Neodiprion lecontei: one gene and its partners. The protein of the gene in region 3 binds, or shares a complex with, the protein of the main gene of each other region. Links are inferred from orthologs where the notes say so. Each region holds a gene or a part of one and is shown on either strand. Other genes may lie near its edges.

Region 1 (8,324 bases), on a different chromosome or scaffold from region 3:
TAATAAGTATGTAGAAGTTAATTCTTCTTTACTGACAACATACCTTACATTAGTCATTGTGAAAGGAAATTCTAATTCAGTCGGAGAATGAGTAGTGACGCCAATTTCAATCGATCCAGCCCACTTTGTAACTATCTTGTCTAACTTAACTTCAAATAATTCATTTGGACGCAACGGTCGAGAAGTCAGTACAACACCATTGTTGAAATCATCTAGAGCGCTGCAAACGTATTTTTATTAATATGATGGTCTGTTTTCATGCCATTATGGATCTGGATTAATAAATTTTTCTTTTCCTTTCTTGTTTCGCAAGATCACTGAGAAATCATACTATTGTTCATTTTATACGCTTACTTGGGTCTATGAGCAGTTCTTCCATTATTAATTACATCCGCATGTGTCCCACAACAAACGTGAAACATCAGTCTATCTATCGCATCATCGTCTATCATTTCTACAGATAAATGAAAGGATAAGTTTACTTTGTCATAAGGAAAACTGGATATAGTTTAATTAGCATTAAAGTACACAATGATGAAGCAGTCGATAGAAAAAGTATGCCGAAAAATAGAAGAACTTTACCTTCGCCATTTAATCCCTGTAGATGCAGAGTGTTTCGTCTAGTGACTAAATTTTGTTCTTCTCTCTCATCCCGGTCGACAATGGTTACTTTAACAGTCATCCCGTAAAGATCTATAACACCCCAAATACCCGAGGGAACCTTGGCGGCGATACCTTGATCCAAACCATTTATAAGGTAATGAAGGTTTCCGTTACTTCGCCTAATCATTCCCACCCTGTCACCCTCCTGTAATATGGAATCCATATCAAACTTTGCAAGCAATATCTTGCTTCACTGAATTCATTTTATGCCATGGATTTAAACTTACTCTCAACTCGTCTAAATTGAACTCTCCGTACTCACGCTGAGTACCCTTGCCATTGGTCAGAATTCCACAGCCAGACATCATGGTTGTTCCAGATCGCATGTTGGTCATCGTTGCGGGAAATTCTAGTGCTGTCGGACTGTGAGTAGTAACACCTACTTCGATACTTCCTGACCATTTGTCCACTAATCTGTCTATTCGAATCTGGTTCACATTTAAAAAATTTGTTTAGATTGCAAACATTCCTTACCACAAACTTCAAGCTAATGAATCAATCGATTCGCCCAGGCAAAGTATAACTCAACACAGTGTATGACACATCAAATACTTTTTCAACTTGAAAACTTAAAATATTAGATCGCGGTAAGCCAAGGTGTGAAAAGTCTTACCTCAAAAAGCTCGTTATCTCTTAATGCTCTGTGCGTCATTACAACACCGTTATTAAATTCATCAAGTGGTCTTCGTCTCTCTGCCGTTCTAGCATTGTTAGACAATTTAATGAGGGTTCCGACTCGCTCATGGAACCTTAATCTGTCCTCCCGTATAGCAGCTGCGCTTGGATTCTTAGGTAGGTTGATATTTACATTAACGTTAACGTTCAGATTGGTAACTAAGTTTGTCGTTGAAGAATTTGACGTCTGTGCAAGTGCGTGATCATTGTTGATTTCTGTCTCATTTGTTACGTCTGTTATGGAAAGTGTTGGCCTCGGCTGAGAGACGCTTACTTGGACGCAGTTACCATACATATCAATTACTGCAAATACTCGTGAAGGGATATTTGTAGCTGCTACACCTTGAGACATTCCATTTACATAGAACACTAGTTCACTCTGAAAATGAAACAAAATATTTATTTGACTAATAATTGTTTCAAATACATGAATTTCAGTCTGTTCAATTTTAAAATGTGTCGTCATAATTTCAATGACTGGATTATAAATATCAAAAAATAATGGAGTTCATTAAATCTTCTCTGGTCAATTTTTGACAAACATTGACGGTTGGGAGTTTATTATTCAACGATTCTCAAAAATGACAGAGACAGTATTGAAAAAACATTGCATTATTTTTATCACTTTATAAAATCCTAATTGGAATATAATTCTTCCATTCCAAGAGATGTTAAAGTTTATTCATGTAACATACAAGTGACGGATGCATGGAAATCAGACAATTCTAAATATAATTTCCAGGTGGAAAAGCAATTCATGAAAGGTGCATACCTTGTTAAATAATTAAGCTAGTTGTATTATCCAATAAAATTTAAGTTATCTTTTTTTTTGTGCATCTATTCGTAGAGAATTGGTGCACAAGACGAAGCCAGTGATGAAATTTGAAGAAAATGCTGTCCTACTTTGTTCTTTTGATCTCAAATTTTGAAATAAGTATAATGAAAATACGATGAATCGTCAATTAGTATCTAATTTTGTTATTAAAATTCTTGTTTGGTAACAAAATCCTCTTAACATATCCTCTTAAAATGTTTGTAGTTAACCAATTTTCAATGATAAAGTAGGTGAAGAAAAAGAATAAGTTCAAACAGTTAGATGATCCTACATTTTGGCCTTTTCATATTCTGCTCGGTTCAAGATTCGGTGCTACACATAAAAAAGTCATCGACAAGAAAAAGAGAAATGAACCAAATACACAGTTAAGACTAACATTTGAGGTCCTCATCACACCAAGAAAATCTCCTTCCTCTAACGTTTCAAGATCTGTCCCGTACAGTTCTACAATTGGTTGTCCGTCACGAATAATCCCAGAACCTGACATTATCCATGATCCAAGTCTAAGCTTATTGGCACATGCCGGTAACTCCATACTCTCCGGATCACATGATGTCACTCCGATTTCAATGCTTCCGCTCCATGATACCATCTGAAAGAAATTACCGTGAAGAAACAAATAGGCAAAGAAAGAGCAGAAACGATATGTTGATAGACAAGTAACGAAGCGAAGAATATTGTCTTGCCTAGTTGAGGAGGACATTATGCAAGCACGGGGCATGCAGGAAACGGCGTTACAATTAAGAAACTGCGTGAAAGATACGGATTGGAAAACCGAGGTTTGTCCATAAAAGTCGTGGGCGACGATAGCGTGATGAAAACCTGTAAATCCCGGAGATTTGACAGTTCGGCGAGTCGATGCAGTGGGCGACAGGTACGAGTATGGAGAACTGCAGCATAACATGTCGAGTGGTGCACATCGTTACCTTTTTATCGATGCGAACTTCGAAGAGTTCATCATCCTTGAGCGGTTCGGAGCTTAATACGAGCCCGTAATTATATACAGAGAAATTTCGGACGGCGGTACAGTTGTCATTTATTAAATTAACACGCTCCCCGCATCTTTGGTGAAACATAACGGCCATTTGTGTATGTATACACAACAACAGCAGCAGCAGGGCCTCGTACTCCGAGGTCCCCGTATCCGATATCCGATCACGTCGTCTCGCGTACCAAATCCAACCAAACCATCATAAAAATAATCGATCATTTTTTCCCGATTAATCGAGTATAATCGATTATTTCTTAAACTCGATTAATCGACCGACTCGATTGTTCTTTCTTATATACAATCGGTTTTTGATTTTTACTCCCATATGAATGATACAATACAGAGAGAAACCTTACAATACAATATCAATTTATATGATTAAAGTATCAACAATTGACATTGTCTTACTTACCAAGCACCTATTTGATATAATAAGTGAAAGGCGTATATGAATATTTTCACTTACAACATTTTGATTTCATATGCATCGTTTCAAAAAAAAAAAAAATACGGAATAATCGATTAATCGGTTAATATTTACCGATTCAATTGAGTCATGTTCGATTATTTTTTGGAACTCGATTAATCGAAGCATATAGGATGACACTCGGTGCTAGCGACAGCTAGCGACGAGAAAAATACGCCCGAATGATTGGTTCTGATGTACCAGGTCCCACCTTGTAGGAGGGGTTTATCATTTCAAGCCAATGAAAAGGCTTCATTTCACCTATCCCACCGCAACGTCATCACATCATCAGCCAATTGAGGGAATTCAGTTTGGCAGTTATCGTCTGCAATAATCTGGTCAAAATCCACAATGACGCTCGTTGATAAACACGGGGGTGGTGAAACAGGTCAAATCGAGGTAATTGTGTAAAAAAAACAACTCGGTTTCAGATGTCAAGATGGGACAAACCCGGCATAAGATATGGTGAGCATTAATTCTATTTGTAAAAATATCCTTATATCAATGCCTACTGCTTTCGACTATTCTAACCTATAAATTCTGACACCAAAGCAAAGTCAAAGTTTATCGTCAAGCTGAACTATATCAATTATTTGCAAATGACTTGTAATTAAGAAGTGACATCTGTTTCCTTTATTTCAACTCGTTATCCATCTTGTTTTTGCAACATACCCTACCTTGACTACAGCAAACTGAGATAACTTTTGGAATGAACTTACCTATTCATATTTTAGCAAGTTACAATGCCATAACTTGATATTTTCTTTCAGTATGGTCTCCGACTTCTTTTATCCGAACATGGGTGGGGTGGAAGAGCACATATTCAATTTGTCCCAGTGCCTATTGGGTCGAGGACACAAAGTCGTAGTGCTGACGCACTCTTATGGTGATAGAGTAGGAATACGGTACATGACGAATGGCTTGAAAGTACATACTCTTCTTTGCCCTGTGATCAAATTTTTTGTTTTTAATCCTGGATGCTCATTCAGGGTCTAATTCCTCTGCAAAAATATAGAAAAAACACTGTTTCAAGTCACTCAGCTCATCAAAATCTACGAGTAACTTCTTATTGTAGTGTTAAATCAACTTTTTGTGTTCCCACTCACCACTACCATTGAATATATTACTTTTTATACATTTCAGGTCTACTACTTGCCGATAAAAGTATTTTACAATCAATGTGTGCTGCCCACCATGATCTGTTCTCTCCCATTGATCAGATACATCTTCATACGGGAACAGATCCAGATAATCCATGGGCATTCGGCATTCTCTGCCTTAGCCCATGAAGGGATGTTGATAGGGAGGCTGATGGGACTGAAGGTAAACTGCGGTCGCATTTCCAGGTGTCTTGAGATATTCGTGGGACATACTATGTCACGTAACTGAGAGGCCTGGAAAAGCAATAAATGAAATTAGCAATGAAAACAGTTTGAATTATGTTAAATCTCTTGTACGAATTCTGTTCTAGACTGTATTCACAGACCATTCATTATTTGGTTTTGCTGACGCATCTGCTATCCTGACCAACAAATTCATAGAGATATCACTGTCAGATTGCAATCACTGCATATGTGTATCGCACACTGGAAAAGAAAATACCGTATTAAGAGCAAAAGTACAAATAGAAAGGGTGTCAGTCATTCCAAACGCAGTTGACACTGCGCTATTTACACCTGATGTTAGCAAGAGGAACAATGATTTTAGTGAATATATTTTTCGATATTATAACAAGCAATGTCTAGCTGCTTGATTCTTTAGTCCGCTTTGCTGTTAGATACTTCACTCGAGAGATGAAAACACTTTGGCTTCATACAAGTTGCAAGATGCTTTTATGCAAGGTGGTTATTTGAATCTTTCAATTTCTTGCACATGCAGTGAATCAAAGCTTTTTTTGCAGTTACAATAGTTATAGTATCCCGGCTAGTCTATCGAAAAGGGGTGGATCTCCTAGCCCATATTATTCCTGAAATTTGTGCAAAGTATGAAAATGTACAGTTCCTGATTGGAGGCGACGGGCCAAAACGGTGGCTAATAGAAGAGATTAGAGAACGGAATTTACTCCAACACCGAGTTACGCTGCTCGGTAGTCTCGAACATTCGCAAGTGAGACATGTTTTAAACAAAGGGCACATATTTTTGAACACCAGCCTAACAGAAGCCTACTGTATGGCAATCGTGGAAGCTGCTTCTTGCGGGTAAAGCAACTTTCAAAAGATTTACTTGTGCCAAGTTTTCAGATTGGAAGTTAATGTTTTCTTTAATTTCTTCAAGATTACAAGTTGTTTCCACACGAGTGGGAGGAATACCAGAAGTTTTACCACCCGACTTGATATATTTGGTGGACCCAACAGTGCCTGCTTTGGTACAAGGCATTGATTCTGCGATAGCTGATTATGTCACTGGCAAACAGATGTGTCCTTTCAAGGCGCACAAGCAAATAGCTTCATTTTATAACTGGTTCGACGTTACCAAACGGACGGAAGTTGTATACGGGCTGGTTGAAAAAGAGAAGCAGAAAAATCTTGGACAACAGCTGAGCAGCTACATTCCAACCGGTGTCTTGCCATATTTGCTAGTTGTTTCACTGTGCTATATTATTCTCTACATTCTGGAGTATCTTGTGCCTAAAAAGGTATGTTCATCAGTCACTTAACATGTGCCAAAAAAGTATCAGTTACCACGTATGCAATATATACATTTTTTTTAGTACATCGACTTGGCGCGAGACTACGGACAATCACAGAACGAACCACATATTCACACCAAAGTGCCAAGAAAGAAGAGAGGCAGCAATTCATGACGCTAGTATTATGTTCTGATTCTTAAAAATCAGTATGCTTACACTGATTGTTGTGTCCATTGTTTACCAAAGAAATTACAAATTTCTATACTTGTAAACGTTCGCCTTATCAAGTTTATTACCGAAGTATCCAGATTTCAGAACCATGCTAAGCCTTTAAAAAAAAAAAAAGAAACGAAGTATAGTTCCTATTGCCTAAATTGTTTTGCATATTTGTTTGAAATTTTATATTCGATATTTTTAGCTCATCGCGAAAAAAAGGTTTTGTAATGTTACTTGGCGGTGTTAAAGATTTTGTAAAGGTTGAAGGATTGCATAAGAGTTCTTGAATTTTATTGCGAAACTTTACTCGCTTTATGTAATTGGACTTTTTGTATCTTACAATGTTATTTTCATTTAAATTATTTCCAAAAACAAATTCAACAAATAGTTTTAGGAATACATTGACTGTTCGTTCTTTTTTTTTTTTTATAGCAAATTTGACTACTGCTAATCATTCTTCGTTCCTTACAGTCATTTTGGCGATACATGTTCGTATAATGTAGTCTACAGTGAATTTTGATAATATGAATTTTGTGGCTAAATTCTGGAATATCAGAGGCATTGCTTCAATTACAAGTTTAAAGAATGATTCTTATTTTTGTTTTTTATAGCTACTAGATTAATTTATTTGTACAATTGACTTGATTTAAACAATGAGTGAAGTACAGAAAACTATGTTGTATAGTGAGTTAGGTAATGATTTCGAGCATTTGCAGAAGAATTCAGAAACAGGAATACATAATTTAAAGTTTCTTGTTCTCCCTTTTTTTTTTTACACAGAATGTGTGGTAACAAGAATATGTGCAGCTTATGTAATTGTGATACAAAATAATGAATAATGCATAGTGTCTATGTTGTTAATACGTACCAATAATTGTTGAAGTGAACATACAAAGTTTTTGTCGAACAAATTATTCATAAGACCATATCATGTGTAACATTTAATAGTCACTTGTGTGTGACACCATAACAGTGTGACACTCGATTATTTTCAGTATTTCTCATTCAAATATTTATTGAAACACAATACTGGTCATTTGCGAAGCGCCAAACTAGTACAGTATTTATTAAGTGCTTGTATTTGATGAACTTTATTGTGTTATACCAACTTGTAAGTAGATTTTACAGTATTTTGTAACTATAATTTAATACTTTTATTTTCAAACAAGCCTGAAGGATGTTTCTGTTACTTTTATTTTGATAATTGTGTAAAGAAAATACAAAGTTCAACTATGAGTCTATGAAGGGATCAGACTTTGAACACTTTCCTTCAAAATTAAATCAACTGTGTGCATAAGGTAGTCTCACTATTATAACAGTCTGTATTACTATTTTGTGATATGTTATGAATGTGAACAGGGTGTGCATGCATGTGTATGCGCTCTGACAATCATACCATATCGAATAAACTTAGCTTTCGGACAGCTGAAACGCACATCAGAAGTTTTCCAGAATGCCATGAAATTCGGCGAAAACAGAATATGAGCAAGAAAATGTATCGTGAAATATGATTACCGGCGCTTTGCTACCAACCCCTTTAATGCGATATTATTAATTATCGGTCAACATGAACTATTAAGAAAACCAGAGAAATTCTTTGTACAAATTCAAAGCAGCTAAAGATTTTCTAATTCAATTTCTTTATACAGTAGAAGCTCATTGTTGTCGTTCACTTGGATCTGGTGTCGACGAGGAAACTTTGCCCCACCGATTCACAGAGCGCTAGTCAATTACAGTTTTACACATAACTTGACAACCAGCTTCTAGTGTAAAGGTTTATACATAGGGATGGTATTATTATATAACAACATAACAATGAATGAGATGAATATGATACATGAATATAATG
Region 2 (7,241 bases), on a different chromosome or scaffold from region 3:
TAAGCCCTGTTATATATAGAAGAATATTCGCGCAAAGCATGTTTCCGACGAGCGCTTATATTCACGCTTTCATCCCTGCGCAGACGCAACATGATCACAAAAAATTATTTATCGCATTCGTATCGCAAGACGGCTCAAGGCGTTTCATTGCAACCGTGACTAATGCTCGTGAGAAAACTAAAATTTAAATATACGACGTGTCCTTGACTTTGACGAACTTTCGATACAGTTTTCTCACTGATCTCTATACTATACTACCTAATTGCGTAACTTGATATAATCGCGGCAACTGGAAGGCCGGCTTCCCTTTTTATGCCCCATATTACGGAAAGTTATCGAAGCAAAGTCCGGCTGGATCAAAAGTTAGAAAAAAGGATAAAAAAAATTACTCGAAAAATCTTGAGCGATATTTTATGCTTGCCCCAAGGATAGTGAACAAGAATGAAACATCTCTACTCCGGCCAAAAACATTACACACGGATAAAACACCAGAGTTTAAGGGGATATTATAGTCACTTCTTACCGATTGCGTTAAATGTCTTGTTTTGGCTATTATCAAAGGCTATGCATTGCAACACTAAAAAGGATATAACGGTCGAATTTTACAAGAATTCTACAAATTCTGAACAAAAACACACTAATACATTCCGGTTTTACGCAAAAAAGAAGAAACGGCATGAAAACTAAGGAATCGTGATATTAGGTAAAGTGGAAGACACTTAAAGCATTCGATAAAGACTGATTATAACAGCATTATGAACGCTCTGATTATAAAACCTTTTCCCAAACTAATGATATTTTATTTAACAGGTCTTATTCAAATTGCTGAAATTCACTTCTATCACGTAGTAGGGGTAAAGTTTCGTTCGTATTTACCGTTATTGGGGCAAATGATATTACGGAAGTTTCTAAACGGTTTTTTGGTTCCTCTTTTCCCAATTTTCAATTGAAAAAGTCGGGTCGGGTTGACGTATATATCTCCAAATACCGAAGTCCACGTATCTCAGGCGTGACGAAAGGCTTAACAGTCCCATTCTGTATGGAATCCTCAACAAAAACACTCCAATTAATTTTCATTTGACGAAGAAATAAAGAAATGGCATGAATTCTACGAATTTACTATTGCGATTTTGTAGAATCCGTGCCATTTCTTTGTTTCTGTCTCAAATGAAAATGCATTGAAGTGTTTTTGTTCAGAATTGCATATAGAATGGGACTGTTAAGACTTTTTCGCGTCTCAGTTATGTGGATTTCGATATTTGGAGATATGTACGACACATAGAAATCGACTAAAGCACCCGCTTGACATAACCGAAACATGCCTCGACCGACCAAACGGACTTATGACCTGTGGGTTTCAGCTTTTATCAGTGCAATTGGTGTTATCACCGCGTTGCGCAACTATCAAATAACGGTGAATCAGTATTCGAATTTTACAAGCAAATAAATTTCAAACCGCGAGAAGCAGCCCTGCGGGAATAGAATATTGTGGAAAAACTACAAACATTTTTTATATTCAGTCGAGACGTCAACTTGTTGAAGTGATATTATAAGAACACTCGGTTAAATTACATATTTTATACTCACATTAGACGTTGTTAGAGGTGGTGGGATTCTGAGACTGAAGTTAATGGGATGTATCGTCAGATAAGTGCTTGAAAACTCGAAAGAATATCCAAGTCATAGTAGCACGCAAGACTCGATTCAAGGTGACTGGGAACAACTAATCGAGTGGGGATATTTTCCAATTAACCTACAGCACAGGTACAAAACGACCGCTTCTTCGACAGGAAATATCGATAAACATATTATATATCCCTATAATCGTTCACATGCATACGTATGAATCAGTGGTATGAATAATCGCGTTTATACTCTGTATATATGTATATCACGTTGCGTTTTGTTTTTAGTTTGACGCGTAGTCATCGTGACGGAACATTGTCAATAGGAGCGAATTATCAACAATGGTGGACCTCACAAATATATCCCAAAATAAAATAAAGAACCTTACGACTGGCGAGGTAAGCGATTATCTTAGTGTTGAACGCGGCTGAAATGTAATAAAGTAAATATTTCTTATAAAATTCACGTAACAATTCTACCAGAAATAAACGTCATCATTTATTTCGTTTCTTAAAATAAAATTGCACAATTACCGTCACTTTTCATTGTTACTTGATTTTTATCAAGAATCAATATTATTTTACTACTAAACTGATATGTACGGAAATCTGAAAAATCTCGTTCTTTCAAATATTTTAACAGGTCGTTCCGCTGGAAAGTCTTTGGAAGGACCAGACTGTGGTAATTGTCTTCTTCAGACGCTGGGGATGCATGCTATGCAGAGTGTGGGCAAAAGAGGTGTCCGCAATTGCAGATCTCCTCAAGGAACACAATGTGAAATTGATTGGCGTTGGGGTGGAGGACTTTGATAGCCAAGAATTTGTGGACGGGAAATTTTTCAAAGGAGGTATTTAGTCATCGCGCCGGAGTTTCCATAGTGGAAAGTGCCCGTACTGATTGCGATGATCTTTTTCTCTCTTCCTCACAGAACTCTACGTGGACATTGATAAGAAGACCTACGCCGGTCTTGGATTTAAGCGCTACAATTACTTCTCTGTAATTGCTTCGCTGTTTAGCGGCGAATCAAGGGCTGCTATTAATAAAGGCAGGGAATTGAAAGTATCTGGAAACTATAAAGGAGATGGATTACAGAATGGTGGGGCCCTAGTTGTTAAAGAAGGGGGCAAACTGCTTTACTCCTTCAAGCAAGATGGCCCTGCACAGCACGTTAAAAATTCCAAGTTTCTCGAAGTCCTTGGAATTCCAATTCCAGCTAATATTGATGAAAAGACTGGTTGATCTAACACTATACGTTCACACAAACAATTTATCAGTCATTTCATGTCCAACTGTATCGCACGCTGAACTGTTGATTTTGAATTGTTCAACTTCCACGTAACTTTGTAGAAAGGGGAAAGATATTTTAGTTTAGCGAGACAATACAGTTTGTTATGCAATGATCTGCAGTAATGTTATTTATAAGAAAGAAATTTATAATCAGCGTGGCCAGAGGTTGTTATGAACAAAAAAATGAAATTCTATAACCGTTTTAAACTTATACGCACAATATTGTATTTTAAAAACAAAATAATATTATAAAAATACAAATACATGATAACGTCATAACTAGCTTTACATTGAACAATACCATGCAACTGAAACTAGTCAAGCATTTTTCATTTTTCCATCAGGTCTCAGGTACAGCTGCCTGCAAATCTGAGTTATGGGTATGTCAGACACAGGTGGAATACCTCCAGGAACTTTATCCGCTGTATTCAGAGAGAACTTGTCTCTAATTGTCCTAATATCGTCTATATCTGGTGTCATCAGCAGATTGATCGCTGGATAAATAAGAAACGCGAACAGCGCAGTGGCCGTCAAGGCCCAAATTGGAATGGCCACAGCCCAGTATTTCAATGGCCAATAAGTAAGGCCAAATTTTTCTTGCAGCAAATTATCTGGGACTATAGCCCACACCAAATACAATAGGAATAACATATTCGAACCGACAAACAAAGCGTACCCATAGACTGATCGGGGCGTATAAGGTGCTGGGGTATGCTCAGGCATTTTAATAAATTTCTGCCAATAGTTATGTAGGCCGTATTGTGTGGAATATGTCCAGTCAATAGTGTGTATACTCAGGCGCAGGCGGACCAAATTCTTTGAGTGTTTCAAGTACAAGAAGTAAGCTTTCAAAAAATGAGGTCAGCCCTACTCGAACCTTGCGTGCTTCTGTGCCTGTAAAATTCCTGGAAGCAAAGAAAAAAAAAACAAAATAAATCTTCTGATAAACGGTTGAACATAAATTTGTTCATCTTGTGAGTTGGTAGAAGAGTCTTTGGAAAGCCCAGTTCTTACACGTTGAGGCGGGTTTCATCCAAACTCAGTATCTTAGAAACGCCGCTTCGCTTCGGCTCGGAATCAACTCTCAATACTTGATAAACAACGTCTGCCTCTCGGGCCGTTGTAAAAGGCACTGAAACGGATCTGTTATTTGCGGTATTAAGGTTATGGTAGAAAAATCTTTTTACCAGACGATAAAGTGCCGATAATAGAACGTTGATAATAAAGAAATTTCTTAGAATACAATTCGAATACATCCACAAAAGGATACTTACACGTTAATGTCGTTCATCGCGTAATACGCTCGTGAAATTCTTTCATTCGTAAACACGTATTCCTTTGCTTTGAAGTTCGAAACACGAGGACGAAACGAAATTGCAGCCGTAAACTCGTCGCCCAATCAAATCGAAGCCTTCTACGTTCGACCATTTTTAACGTACTTCAGGGTATTTTTGAATGGTCACGAGATGCGAAATAAAACTTAAATTTAATAATACAGTAGAAATATATTTATCGTCACGTATGTTTCATTCGTGAAACATTTTTTCACCGGGCAATAATAAGAGCTGCCAAACTGGTATCTCAAGTGGATTTTCATTCGAATTCAAAATTATTACGTTCCAAGTAACGAAACATAACCTCATTTAGAGCGATAAAAAATACAGTCGTATCTAAATGTTTTCTGGCCTCAACGTGATTCGTAAATCATAATTTGAAATATGAAAGAGCTGGAGCATACGCGTTGTGAGGTGAATTTCTTAACAGTATTAAAAAATTGCAATTAAGTGTTACTAAGAGAAAACATGTTTAACGTTCAAGCAATGCCTGCCAAAAACCGAAAACTAATCGGCTTGAGAAATCTCACGTTTTCATATTTTTCTATTCTTATTTACACCACTTTCATACATCGTAACCGTTATTTAGGTTCGTAAAATAATAGAAATCCAAGCATCGATATGGGATGGCCTTAACCCGTCAGATGGAGATGAATTTAGACAGTCAGCAGGATCCCCTGCCTCCAGAGGCTCAGATATTCCCCGTGGAAGCTTTTTGGAAGATGCGAATCACGCATGGCTGAGTAATGGTTCACGGCTTGTTGTAATCAACACAAAAACAGGAGAAAACATTTCCTCTTGGACTTTCTGTCAGAAAGTGACGGCTGTCGCACAATTTCCCACGCAGCCTGGGGACGTTTTATTGCTCTTAGTTGGACTGGATAATGGCGCGAATAGAGCTAAAGATTCTGCTGGAATGTTGTGCATTTTTGACTGCTCCACATCAAGAGTTCTCAGATCAATAAGGGTAAGTTGCATTTTTATTCACGTGTTATCTATTTTAATTCTATCGTATATATGTATTACAAGTATATTTTTCATTCAGTGACTAAAGTAAAATTGATGATAATTGACAAAAATCTTTTGCTATACCGCGGTTACCAGATGCCTGCAGGTGTGGAGCAGGTGTGCGTGATGAACGGAGGTGCAGAGTGGGAAGATTTCAATGAGAAAAGAACACATGGCATGTTGAGCAATAGTTCTGGAATCGCGTGTGTCGCTTTGCGCAATCTGTACCATATTGTATTGGATTTGCGTCGTGTATTATGGGACGGAGATGTATCTTACCTGACGACCAATGAACTATCACCAGCTGACATTGAATTATCTGAAGACAGGTATTCATTATCTTCGAGACAACGTTGTGATAGGGGAATACACAAAGCGTACAACCTGCTGAATCCTGGTTAGTAACTTATTCTTAATTTTCATATATCGACGATTTTGTCTCTCATCGAATTTGAAACATAATCGTGAGATACCGTCATAATTGACCCTCTTTTCAATTGTTAAGTTTTGTTTAATGAGTTTTCTTCCATTTTGTTGATTACTTAGGCATTGAAGACTTTATAAGATTCAATCGGGAGGAATTTGAATCATCACCGCTGTATGATGAAAATTTTACAACGACACTGATCTATGCAAAAAAGATTGGCTGTGTGATATCTGGATGTTTGGGGAGGGTCATAATTTGGCAAAACGATGGTTCGATTGGTTGGATAAGTGCTTCTGCTAAAAATAGTATGGCGATCAGTCATTTGGCTCTGCTTGAGCCAGCCGACGATCCGAGACCATTTTACTACCTGTGGGTTGCGTACCAGGAAGAAACCTTTGAAACAGCTCCTATTCTAAAGATGTACGCACTGCTCATCGAAAGAAGGTATTGTGACAAGGAAACCAATCTGCATTTTAAGATAGAAGGTGAGCCCAGTCTGAAATTTGATCTACAATTAGAACCTGTTGACAGAATAACGAACTTGGTTTCGATAGAAAGAATGAACAATTGTGAGCAAAGTGAACCGAACAATAAGAAAGGAGATGCGAGCTTATTGCTAATTGGATTGAGTGGGAAAGCGTTATTATTTGATTTAAATCAGTGGTACAGAGAACATTTACCACGAAACATTCACAACTGTCAGAACCCAAATACTTTCCTGTGTTATTATCAGATGAAATCAGAGACATTGAATATTGCTGACGATATGGTTTTAAGCTGTGCTTATTCTCCTTTAACGTTAAGAGAGTTTCCTAATAACGGAGGAAATTCTCTGGATGAGCTGTTCTACCCCAAATCTCTGTGTCTTGATTGGGTGGAGCTCACAAATAACCACCTAAGAATTTGGATGACCCGAGGGTTGCAGTGGGAATTACTACGAGACATGGCTATTGCTGGTCCCAGCATTTTGATTCAACCCTCAGAAACATTTCATAAGTGCCTTGCCGCTGGATTAGTCCCATTCAACACCGACTGCTCTTTTGACTGTGATCAAAACGCACAACGAGAAATGCTCCTTTCTCTCTGTCTGGAGCAAAGATGGGCATCATTCTTAATCAAATGTGCCAAAGAATGGGGGGATGGGAGCGTATCATATTTATTTCCTATGTTTTTGAGGTGGGGAGCTCAGAGGGCTTCTTCCCTAAAAATGGTAGCTGATCAGCTATGTATTCCACTGTTTGACCAATCCGGTTCAACAATCGGAGACAAAGAGATAAAGTTGTTACGGTTTTGTTCACAACAACTTGAATGCTTATCAACAGTAGTTGCCAGATTACCCATCCCATCGGACGATCTTGTGAAGCAACAAAGAGCCTTACGCCGTGTCGCTACTCATCTAGGAGTTCTTCTTTGGTTTTACGATGTCGGTCTACTACCTGAAACACATGAAGTCAATGATGAACCATTACCAATAACATTCTCGCTGCAAATACCATATCCATACGAGAGATTAGCAGCCATTTATAAAAATAAACGTCAACAAATTAGAGAGAATACTG
Region 3 (8,181 bases):
GCTTGATACCGCCTTGTGGCACGGCCACGGCAAAGTTTCATGCCCACCTAAACAAGTGACCATTACTGAAACTTGGCAGGGTGGACAAGGCAGAGTTTTCAGCTGCATCTTGTCCCTCTGTTTTTCCCACGGCCCAGCTGGTTGAGTTATACCATTCACCTTTACCCATACCTTGGTGTGACAGGGCACTGGGCAAATGTGACCGCACTTTTTATGCGCCAAGGCACATTGTTTCTTGCAGGGTGGACACTGTCCTTGGTGGCATTTGTGCGACTCTCGTTTTGGATGGTGGCAAATCGGTGGAATTTTACACATTTTATTACAGTGAGGTGGTTTAATCTTCTTGGCTGTACCACAAGGTATGACAATTTTGCTCGAACCGCATCGACACTGTATAGTGTCTGTCCTCTGGCAGGGATAGCATGGGCCGCTGTGGCAAGGAGCGGAACATTTGTGTTTGCGACAACTTAAAGTACGGTCGCAAGTCTTTTCGCAAGGATTGAAATTATTCTTCTTCACACAGTCGCAGCATTTTTTATTGCACGGATGCCGTCCGCACAACCGAATCTGCTTACACTTCGTGTCGCAGTGAAACACTTTGGCGCAAGCTATCTCTTTTTTGTGAGCACCGCATTTGCACGATTTGGTAACCACCTCCAAGCATTGCCCGCAGCTATCGAGATGACAGCGTTTGTTGCAGTAATGTGCTCCGCAATCCAGTAATTTTTCGCAAGTATCACCGCACGTCGCTGCCTCCTGCTTGCAGGAAATCTTGTACTTCCTCTTCCCGCACGGACACGACCTGTTTTTGGCCGTCAGGCAATCGCCACAGTCTCCGGGCAGATGGCAGACGTCTTGGCAAACGTGGACGTTACAAGATAAGGATTTTCTGCACGGTTTATCGCACCGCCACACCGTGTCGAAACATGGCCTCAGCTCGGTCTTATTCCCACAGTGACAAGTCGCGGAAACCTTCTCCGGACATGGTGGACACTCGCCACTATGACACATTTCTGTGCACGTGTGTTTCCCGCATTTCAAATTCCTGCTGCAAACAGCGCCGCAGCTCCATTCTTTGGCGTTACAGCGTCTCGGACGAGGGGCTGATTTGGCACAGTAGCATTTGGAAGAAACCATTTTAGGACACGGAGGACAAGGTCCGGGATGACATAGCAGAACACAGGAATGCCCGCATTTTGGTTGGAGAAGTTTTCCACATGCTTCTCCGCAAGAATGTGGTACGCACCATGGTTGATATGATGGATCTCTCGTCTTTCCGCAAAAACATTCATAGTGTTGCGGAGCCTCGTCTTCGGCATACTCTGTACGACATTTTGGGCTGCAATAATCAGACTCAATTGTCATTAACTCTGGACATCGATAATAAAGGTGGATCATAGATTTATTTGCTCATCAGAGTTGATTTGAAAAGAACAAAAGCTGTCAGAATTTAACAGCGAGTTAACAATTGATTGAACCCACCATGCCCATAATTGAGAAATTCCACGGTCCCGCTTGTAAGCAAGGCTGTCTCGAATCCAGTGCTGAATGCACGGGAGATGCATAAATGAGTAGCACATGGTACAGCTCCATATCTGCATCAATAATTTATTAGGATAAAACATGACAAAACAATTTCTACTGGCTGAACAGCGATGAGAGTGTTATCATGACAAATTCTTCATTCAAACTTACTGCGTCTGTTTTCTTCACCGACGAAATACATATCAAGCAAACAGCGCCGTTAGATTGAAAAGTATCAGCCAAATAAGATAGGATTTTTTCAGGATCTCCACCTTGATCTTGGTAGGAAGTCAGGACCTTTCCAACAGCTTGTTCCAATATCTCTTGCCCAGTTTCATCTTCTTCGTCGCTCGACGATTCTACCATAGGATGTGTAACCATGTGCCTTTCGATCGCCGCTTGATTTTGCGCTTGCGCTCTCTTAAATTTCTTCATTTTGAATCCTAAAAATCCAAGCTTTACAATGTAGACAAATTGTCAAATAATTCCTATACGATCCTCAGTTTTGGTTTGAAAATGAAAGCCTAATGTGAAACTTACGTTTTGTTGATTTTATTTACTAGTAATTGAACAAACAATAAAATATTTTCAATTACCACAAAGCTGTCAAACGGTCCTTATGAACCTAAATATAAAACACAACTGCCTCCGAACCTCTTCTTTATTTACTTCGGATACCTAATTACAGATCTGTAAACAAGTGTACTTTCAGAAAATGATAATTGAGGCTTACCAAATGGAAAATAATTTGCCTAGCTACATTGACATTAAAATGGGATTGTTACTTATTCTCTTTTTCAAACATCTATTACGTAAAAATCATAACTTAATAAATCAAGCCTGTTGAGGGGAAATTTTTCTGGAGGCCAAGATAAATAGAACTACAAATAAGGAAATAATTTCAAGATAGACTCGTACCGATAGTTACGATAATTGACGTAAATAATTCTTATCTCAATTTTGTTAGTTACATATCAATACTGCAGAAAAGACAATATTAAGACTTTGATAATATTTAGAAGAATAAGAAACGCGGAGTGGAAAAAAAGCACATGAAAATTTGTCGCAAAATTCTATCATGATTTTTAAAAACACGGTGAAACTGACCAGAGTTCATTCTTATTACCTTGTTATTTGCCTCTAAAATGGAATGAGATCAGTAAAACAAAACTCATAACCTCTATCAACGTCATTAATTCACCACAACCACAACCACAACCACTTCAGACACCAGCACAATCATTTGATTACTGCGCATATGCGATCGATACGCGCCACACTTCCCGAAATCACGTGATCAGGATTTTGGCGGTAGTTTCGATTCAAATTTGAATTTCACCGTGATCTCGGGATTGGATATGTAAAAAATAAAACGCAGGAATAAACATTCTGGTTGTAAATGAGAAAGTAAAATATGTGTATTCTTGTATTACCGATATTGTTTAACAAATTTGAACCCTAAATTAAGTTTCCTTAGGTTTAATTTTTGGATAATAGCTCAAACTCGGATTTGAATTTATAATAATACCTAATACTCGTATAAGCAGACACGCAGTGCCCAATATTTCTGTACAAGTATAACAATATACCTGATTTTATAAGAATTAATGTATCATAAATGAATAAAAAATGATTCGTGTGCCGATTCATTTCCATACTAACTAAAAATTGTCACATTAATTTATACGAATTTTTTATAGCACTATTTATCAGAATAAAATATTATAAAAAAACTACAGCATCGTTCCATGAATATTTCACTATCCCCCACCATTTTCGATAGTATTGAATTTATTAACAGTGAAAATTCTATCTGAAACTAAATTCCTTCATCCAATAAATATTATTTGGTTTAAAAATGTGTGCTTCACATAACATGCTGTTCACTGATTTCATAAATGCTTTAGACATCTTCAAGACGTGATCACGGCCTCGTCCCATGGGCCGTAAATATTTTCTTTATAAGTTTGCCACCTGATATAGCAAAGGGGACAAACCAGTTGTAGAAATATGGTAACTCCGATAAATACGCACGAAATTGTTGAAGATATGACGTAAAGTAGATAAGTCGTAGTGGCAGAAAGAACAATTGTGATACACACTTTGCCATCGATTTGAAACATGACAAACGGCAAAAGAACAAAGCAAAGAACGGCTGTGGTAAGGAGTGAGAAGGCGTGCAGAGGCGAAACGAGTCTGGATGCTAACATGAGCGAGCCAAAAATTGAGGAAGTTATGGAGAGGGAGTCGGACAAAGAGACTTGTGGGGAGCCGTATTTGCTGAATATAAGGTGTATCAAAAACATAAATATTGTCATGGCATATATTGTGTCCGTACTGACGGTTGCAGTCAGGGTTTTCAATATCGGTGATAAGATGTAGCCAAAAGCAAGAAATATCAAGACAGTTCTAAGGTCTTTGGACATTTTTTCCAGCATGTCGGACTTCTTAAAAGTATGAAGAAAATACCCGGCTAATGTGAGAATACCACTGAACACAAAGATGGCATTAGGCGCTATCCATTCGTTGTCCAACCAAACGAAAACTATGACGAATAAAATTACTATGTTCAGTTGGACGGACACACTCGCCGCAAACGATATAGCCTCGATGGTTGTAATGTTACTTGGGTTTATATTTTTACGCAATTCTTCCAGGAACGAACTGTCCGTATAATTATCCGGCAGCCCACGAGTTTCGTACAAATTTTTACGCCACCGTCTAGTCACAACTCCATTTGTTTTCTTTCCATTCATAACAGGCGCCTCTAATTCACAATGAGACATTCTTCTTTTTTGCGTTAAATGACTCTCCAGTGGAATGTCATTCATTGAGTAACTCATTCCAACATTCAGTCAGAAATTCACAATTTCACTCCCCGGCTTGACGTTATGCTAGAGTTTTTTGGACAGCTGCCAAATTTTAAGCATTGTGCTTCAGAACTGTTGAACTGAAAATAAAATATAATGGTACACGTCTGAGATAGTCTCGTTGCCTGATTGCATCGCACAAATTCTTATATGATTTCTCGTTACTCAACGAGCTGTATATGTAGACTGTAGTTTTATAAATATTTATGGAAAGTTACGGGATATGGATTAATTAATGGATTCAGTGAACGACAAACGAAAAGCTTTATAAAATTCAATATAAATTCTAGTTAAATTAGGTTAGTTTGGGGTCAAATTCTTTGTAGTTTGAAAGCGATACGATAAATAGATCTCATATTGAAATAAGTTCGAATTGCTTACCGAGAATAATTGAAGTATAAAAAATTTTTCATTCTCATGCGTCATTCGTGACAGTCCGTCGAAGAAACAAAACTATTTCTAAGATTTTTGTAGATCCAAATTTGTTCATGACTTGTGTCAACCAATCTCAACCACGAGTCAAGGGATATTTTATTACAGTTTAGAAATCATTTAATTATCGCTAAAATATGAAAATACATTCCTTTTTCACAATCATTAAAAAAAATGGAACAGGTAGATTAACATCTGACGAAGATAAGTGTTACCTTTGAGGTTATGTTGAAGGCCTGAATTTGATTGATTATGCACTGAATCACGCAGGCCGTACTTGACGTATTTCTCATATCTTGTATTTAGTTGGATTTGCATCAGAACGACCAAATTTTAATAAATAAGAAAAAAAAACACACAACACAAATAAATAACAGTGACCTAAATTCATGAGAAAAAAAAAATCTTCATTTAATATAACAAGTTATTTTTTATTAATACATAAGAAATGATTCAGAAGATTATGTCTCGCATAAGCTTTTCGAGGCGGCGATATTGGACTGGAACTCAGATTTGGTTTTGTCTAAATAAAATACTGCTACAATGTTACTTGGTGATAATAAACTGCAAGAGTCTTTTGATCCGTCGAACTAATGCTTCGATAAAAGATCGATCCGTCGTAGTGAATTCTCTTGGTGTGTCCATTAGTTGGGTAATAAAACTGTCCGATAGGGTGGAAACAAGCCCTTGCTTTAGATCGGACAACATTTCTGCAGATATTCTCCACGAGACTACAGTTTCATCCAAGTTACTCGAAGACACTGTAAAGAGAAGAAGTAATATTTTACCTATTGAAATATTGTAAAAATATTCAACATAGATCTCCAGATGCCGCTTACCTTGAGATCTGTTGTGACGCGTCATTGCTTGCATGGCAAAGAAGTCTAAGTGACTCCATAAAATGTACAGACTATGTTCTACGATTAATGAACAGTACTTGAGATCTCCGCGTTTGCATCGCGCTTCTTCCGCTAGTCTTTTCTCGGCTATTAATCGCTGTTTTTGAATATCCAATTCACCTTCCTCTTCTGTTATGTACTGAAGAAAAAAAAAAACGAAATTTGATTTCAATTTCAAAGAATGTCATTGGTGAAATTTTAAATTAGAAACGTGTTATCATGTTAGCACTCACTTTTTTAAGGTCATTTGAACTCATGTCTTTTATAATCGAGGCATTTTTAACCATTGTGTCTAAATGCGGCAGTTCTGAGTGAAGTAACGAAGTAGAAGAAACAAGTTGCCCTATAATTGCACCCAAATGTATTCCACCAGTGGAATCTTTTCCTCTTCCATCTCTAAGCCCAGGTCTGTCTGTTAAATAAGGTTCAAAAAGTACGTTTTTTATTTTCTGATCCATCCGGGTGTGTTCCATCTGTAAAAGCGAATAAAGAAAATCAGAATTTTGAACACAGTTCAATCTTCAATCAATGTAAATGAGTTGCGTCGGTAAGTTTGACATACTTGATTACGAGTGTACAGCATAACGTTGGCAGCAATTTGTATTGCGCACGAATGTTGTTGGGTAGCTTCCATTTGTTGATGTAGAGGTACGACGGGAGGCAGTTGTGGCTGAAATCTGGAGACCATGGAGAGCATCAAACGTTGGAGCCTATAAAGATGGGCTCGCAATTCTCTCATGCCTGTACTATCTTCAGATTTGTGTTCGTTAGAGTTGGCTCTGGCCAATTCCTCGTCAACAAGTTTATACATGTCTGAAAAAGAAGAGAATTAAATATTTGCATAGAATAAAATAGAAATAAAATCATGAAAAAATCAATTGAATGAGAGATGCCTACCAATGTTGGCAGACCTTGCGATGACCCCGGTGAGACTGGCGACTTCTTTGAGGAACAGAACATTAGAATGAGGTGATGCATTCCGTAAAACCATTTCAACGGTATCTCGATGACTCTGTAAAAATCCGCAAACTTGTATGGCACAAGACTGATTTTCCGTTCCAAGGGTAGTCAGCAAAGCATCGCACAAATAAAGTGCAGGTAAAAAGATTTGCTGATACCGCTGACCTATGGAAGGCACAAAGGATATATCTCCACCTTCAAAGCCCACATTTACGTCAGGATGCTGATCGAAAACACACATGCTTGATAAGCAAGATAGGACTTTATTTTCCAGAAGACATTCGGCACCCAGTCTGGTCGACGCCATTCTGCAGAGCGTTGCCATTTTTGATTCGTATAAATACAGGGGCCGCAGAGTGAGTGGATCTGGTTGAAGCATTGTTCGCAATAAATTGTCAGAATCCAGAAGACTGTCTACCATGTGTTTAAGGTACCCTCTGCTAGCCAGATATGTGACCCACGTATTGCTGCAATCGAATTCTAAAATTTTGTCGAGGCACGATAATGACAGCATTTTACAGACGTCGTGTCCACCGGAACAATCGTGGGACAATATATCCATCAACTTGTTACCGTAACTACTGATCACTTGTATCGTCGCATATCGATGCGAACGCTCCTGTAGCGGCGTACTTCTATAATACGAACTATCTAACTGACTAACATACATGGAATCCATGTTGGTCACAACTTCCGATCTTTCCAAACTGACTACACAGAGGAAATTGAGAAGTGCCCCATAAAGATGGGTTCGAACTTTTTGTGAGGATACACCAGAATTTAAGATCCATTGAAGAATATGACTAAGGATAATCTTCATCATTGTTGTATTTGCAGCGGAAGACGGTAGCAGCTCATCGTCAGATTGCATGGAGAAGCTATTACGAAGGTTTACTAGTAGTACGAGCACGGTTCCAGATACAAGTGTTTTGATTTCGTTCAAAGCTTCGCAAGACGTCATCTTCTGCAGTAAATCATGTGACAAATTTAGCAGAAGATTTTGCCTCTGAGCAGCGGGAAGTTGCTGGTTCGTTGCGACAGAGAATAAAATTTCAGTTGTTTGACACCAGCCCTCGACGAACTTCACAGTAGCGTAAGAAAGGGTTTTCGTTTGATTTCGTTTCAAGGCGTATGCAAGGATAGATTGCAGCTCCTGTTGCACAAGCTTACGCTGAGTCGCAGTTGCGCTAGTTTGCGTACCAGCCAATTCTTCTGTTATAAGATTGTGAAGTTTTCTGATATCTATAAGCTGGGGACTTCCACCAAGTGGAACTGGAATGCTGCAGCGTCCCAACACCATTTCAATTTGAGACGGATCAAAGTATTCCCAGGACTTTGGAGGATCTAGATTTAACTGGAAATCGATATAGTGAAGTAGATCCATCAGGAGTTTTTGGGATGGCACAATTTGATCTCTGTCATGGATTAGATTGCCGACTAGTCTTTGAATCAGGGAGTTCTGAAGGCTGCCACCAGCGACGCGCAATTCAATTGCC

The links.
Region 1: phosphatidylinositol N-acetylglucosaminyltransferase subunit C (region 3) and phosphatidylinositol N-acetylglucosaminyltransferase subunit A share a complex: the UniProt entries of both Homo sapiens proteins name them as parts of the glycosylphosphatidylinositol-N-acetylglucosaminyltransferase (GPI-GnT) complex. The link is inferred for Neodiprion lecontei from reciprocal best matches to the Homo sapiens genes PIGC and PIGA.
Region 2: phosphatidylinositol N-acetylglucosaminyltransferase subunit C (region 3) and phosphatidylinositol N-acetylglucosaminyltransferase subunit P share a complex: the UniProt entries of both Homo sapiens proteins name them as parts of the glycosylphosphatidylinositol-N-acetylglucosaminyltransferase (GPI-GnT) complex. The link is inferred for Neodiprion lecontei from reciprocal best matches to the Homo sapiens genes PIGC and PIGP.

Annotation. Positions count from the first base shown.
Region 1 is NC_060263.1:40,957,831-40,966,154, forward strand, and holds phosphatidylinositol N-acetylglucosaminyltransferase subunit A, read left to right. Parts: upstream 1-3,944; 5' UTR 3,945-4,069; coding exon 4,070-4,095; intron 4,096-4,399; exon of another isoform or gene 4,400-4,400; coding exon 4,401-4,557; intron 4,558-4,579; exon of another isoform or gene 4,580-4,607; coding exon of another isoform or gene 4,608-4,688; intron 4,689-4,773; coding exon 4,774-4,953; intron 4,954-5,101; coding exon 5,102-5,336; intron 5,337-5,530; coding exon 5,531-5,828; intron 5,829-5,904; coding exon 5,905-6,265; intron 6,266-6,340; coding exon 6,341-6,433; 3' UTR 6,434-6,608; downstream 6,609-8,324. Other genes in the region: neuralized-like protein 4, read right to left, coding at 44-220, 355-454, 583-808, 891-1,091, 1,277-1,717, 2,550-2,765, 3,100-3,258. UniProt on the Homo sapiens protein: Catalytic subunit of the glycosylphosphatidylinositol-N-acetylglucosaminyltransferase (GPI-GnT) complex that catalyzes the transfer of N-acetylglucosamine from UDP-N-acetylglucosamine to phosphatidylinositol and participates in the first step of GPI biosynthesis.
Region 2 is NC_060263.1:36,932,842-36,940,082, forward strand, and holds phosphatidylinositol N-acetylglucosaminyltransferase subunit P, read right to left. Parts: upstream 4,307-7,241; 5' UTR 4,205-4,306; coding exon of another isoform or gene 4,188-4,204; intron 4,057-4,187; coding exon of another isoform or gene 3,928-4,056; intron 3,819-3,927; coding exon of another isoform or gene 3,692-3,818; 5' UTR 3,637-3,691; coding exon 3,232-3,636; 3' UTR 2,954-3,231; downstream 1-2,953. Other genes in the region: prostamide/prostaglandin F synthase, read left to right, coding at 1,968-2,024, 2,269-2,473, 2,555-2,865; protein ELYS, read left to right, coding at 4,632-4,661, 4,837-5,214, 5,352-5,652, 5,802-7,241. UniProt on the Homo sapiens protein: Part of the glycosylphosphatidylinositol-N-acetylglucosaminyltransferase (GPI-GnT) complex that catalyzes the transfer of N-acetylglucosamine from UDP-N-acetylglucosamine to phosphatidylinositol and participates in the first step of GPI biosynthesis.
Region 3 is NC_060261.1:2,754,544-2,762,724, reverse strand, and holds phosphatidylinositol N-acetylglucosaminyltransferase subunit C, read right to left. Parts: upstream 5,182-8,181; 5' UTR 5,042-5,181; intron 4,957-5,041; 5' UTR 4,776-4,956; intron 4,475-4,775; 5' UTR 4,368-4,474; coding exon 3,438-4,367; 3' UTR 2,944-3,437; downstream 1-2,943. Other genes in the region: NF-X1-type zinc finger protein NFXL1, read right to left, coding at 1-1,339, 1,483-1,595, 1,696-1,967, 2,632-2,641; nuclear pore complex protein Nup205, read right to left, coding at 5,373-5,587, 5,666-5,864, 5,959-6,198, 6,288-6,538, 6,623-8,181. UniProt on the Homo sapiens protein: Part of the glycosylphosphatidylinositol-N-acetylglucosaminyltransferase (GPI-GnT) complex that catalyzes the transfer of N-acetylglucosamine from UDP-N-acetylglucosamine to phosphatidylinositol and participates in the first step of GPI biosynthesis.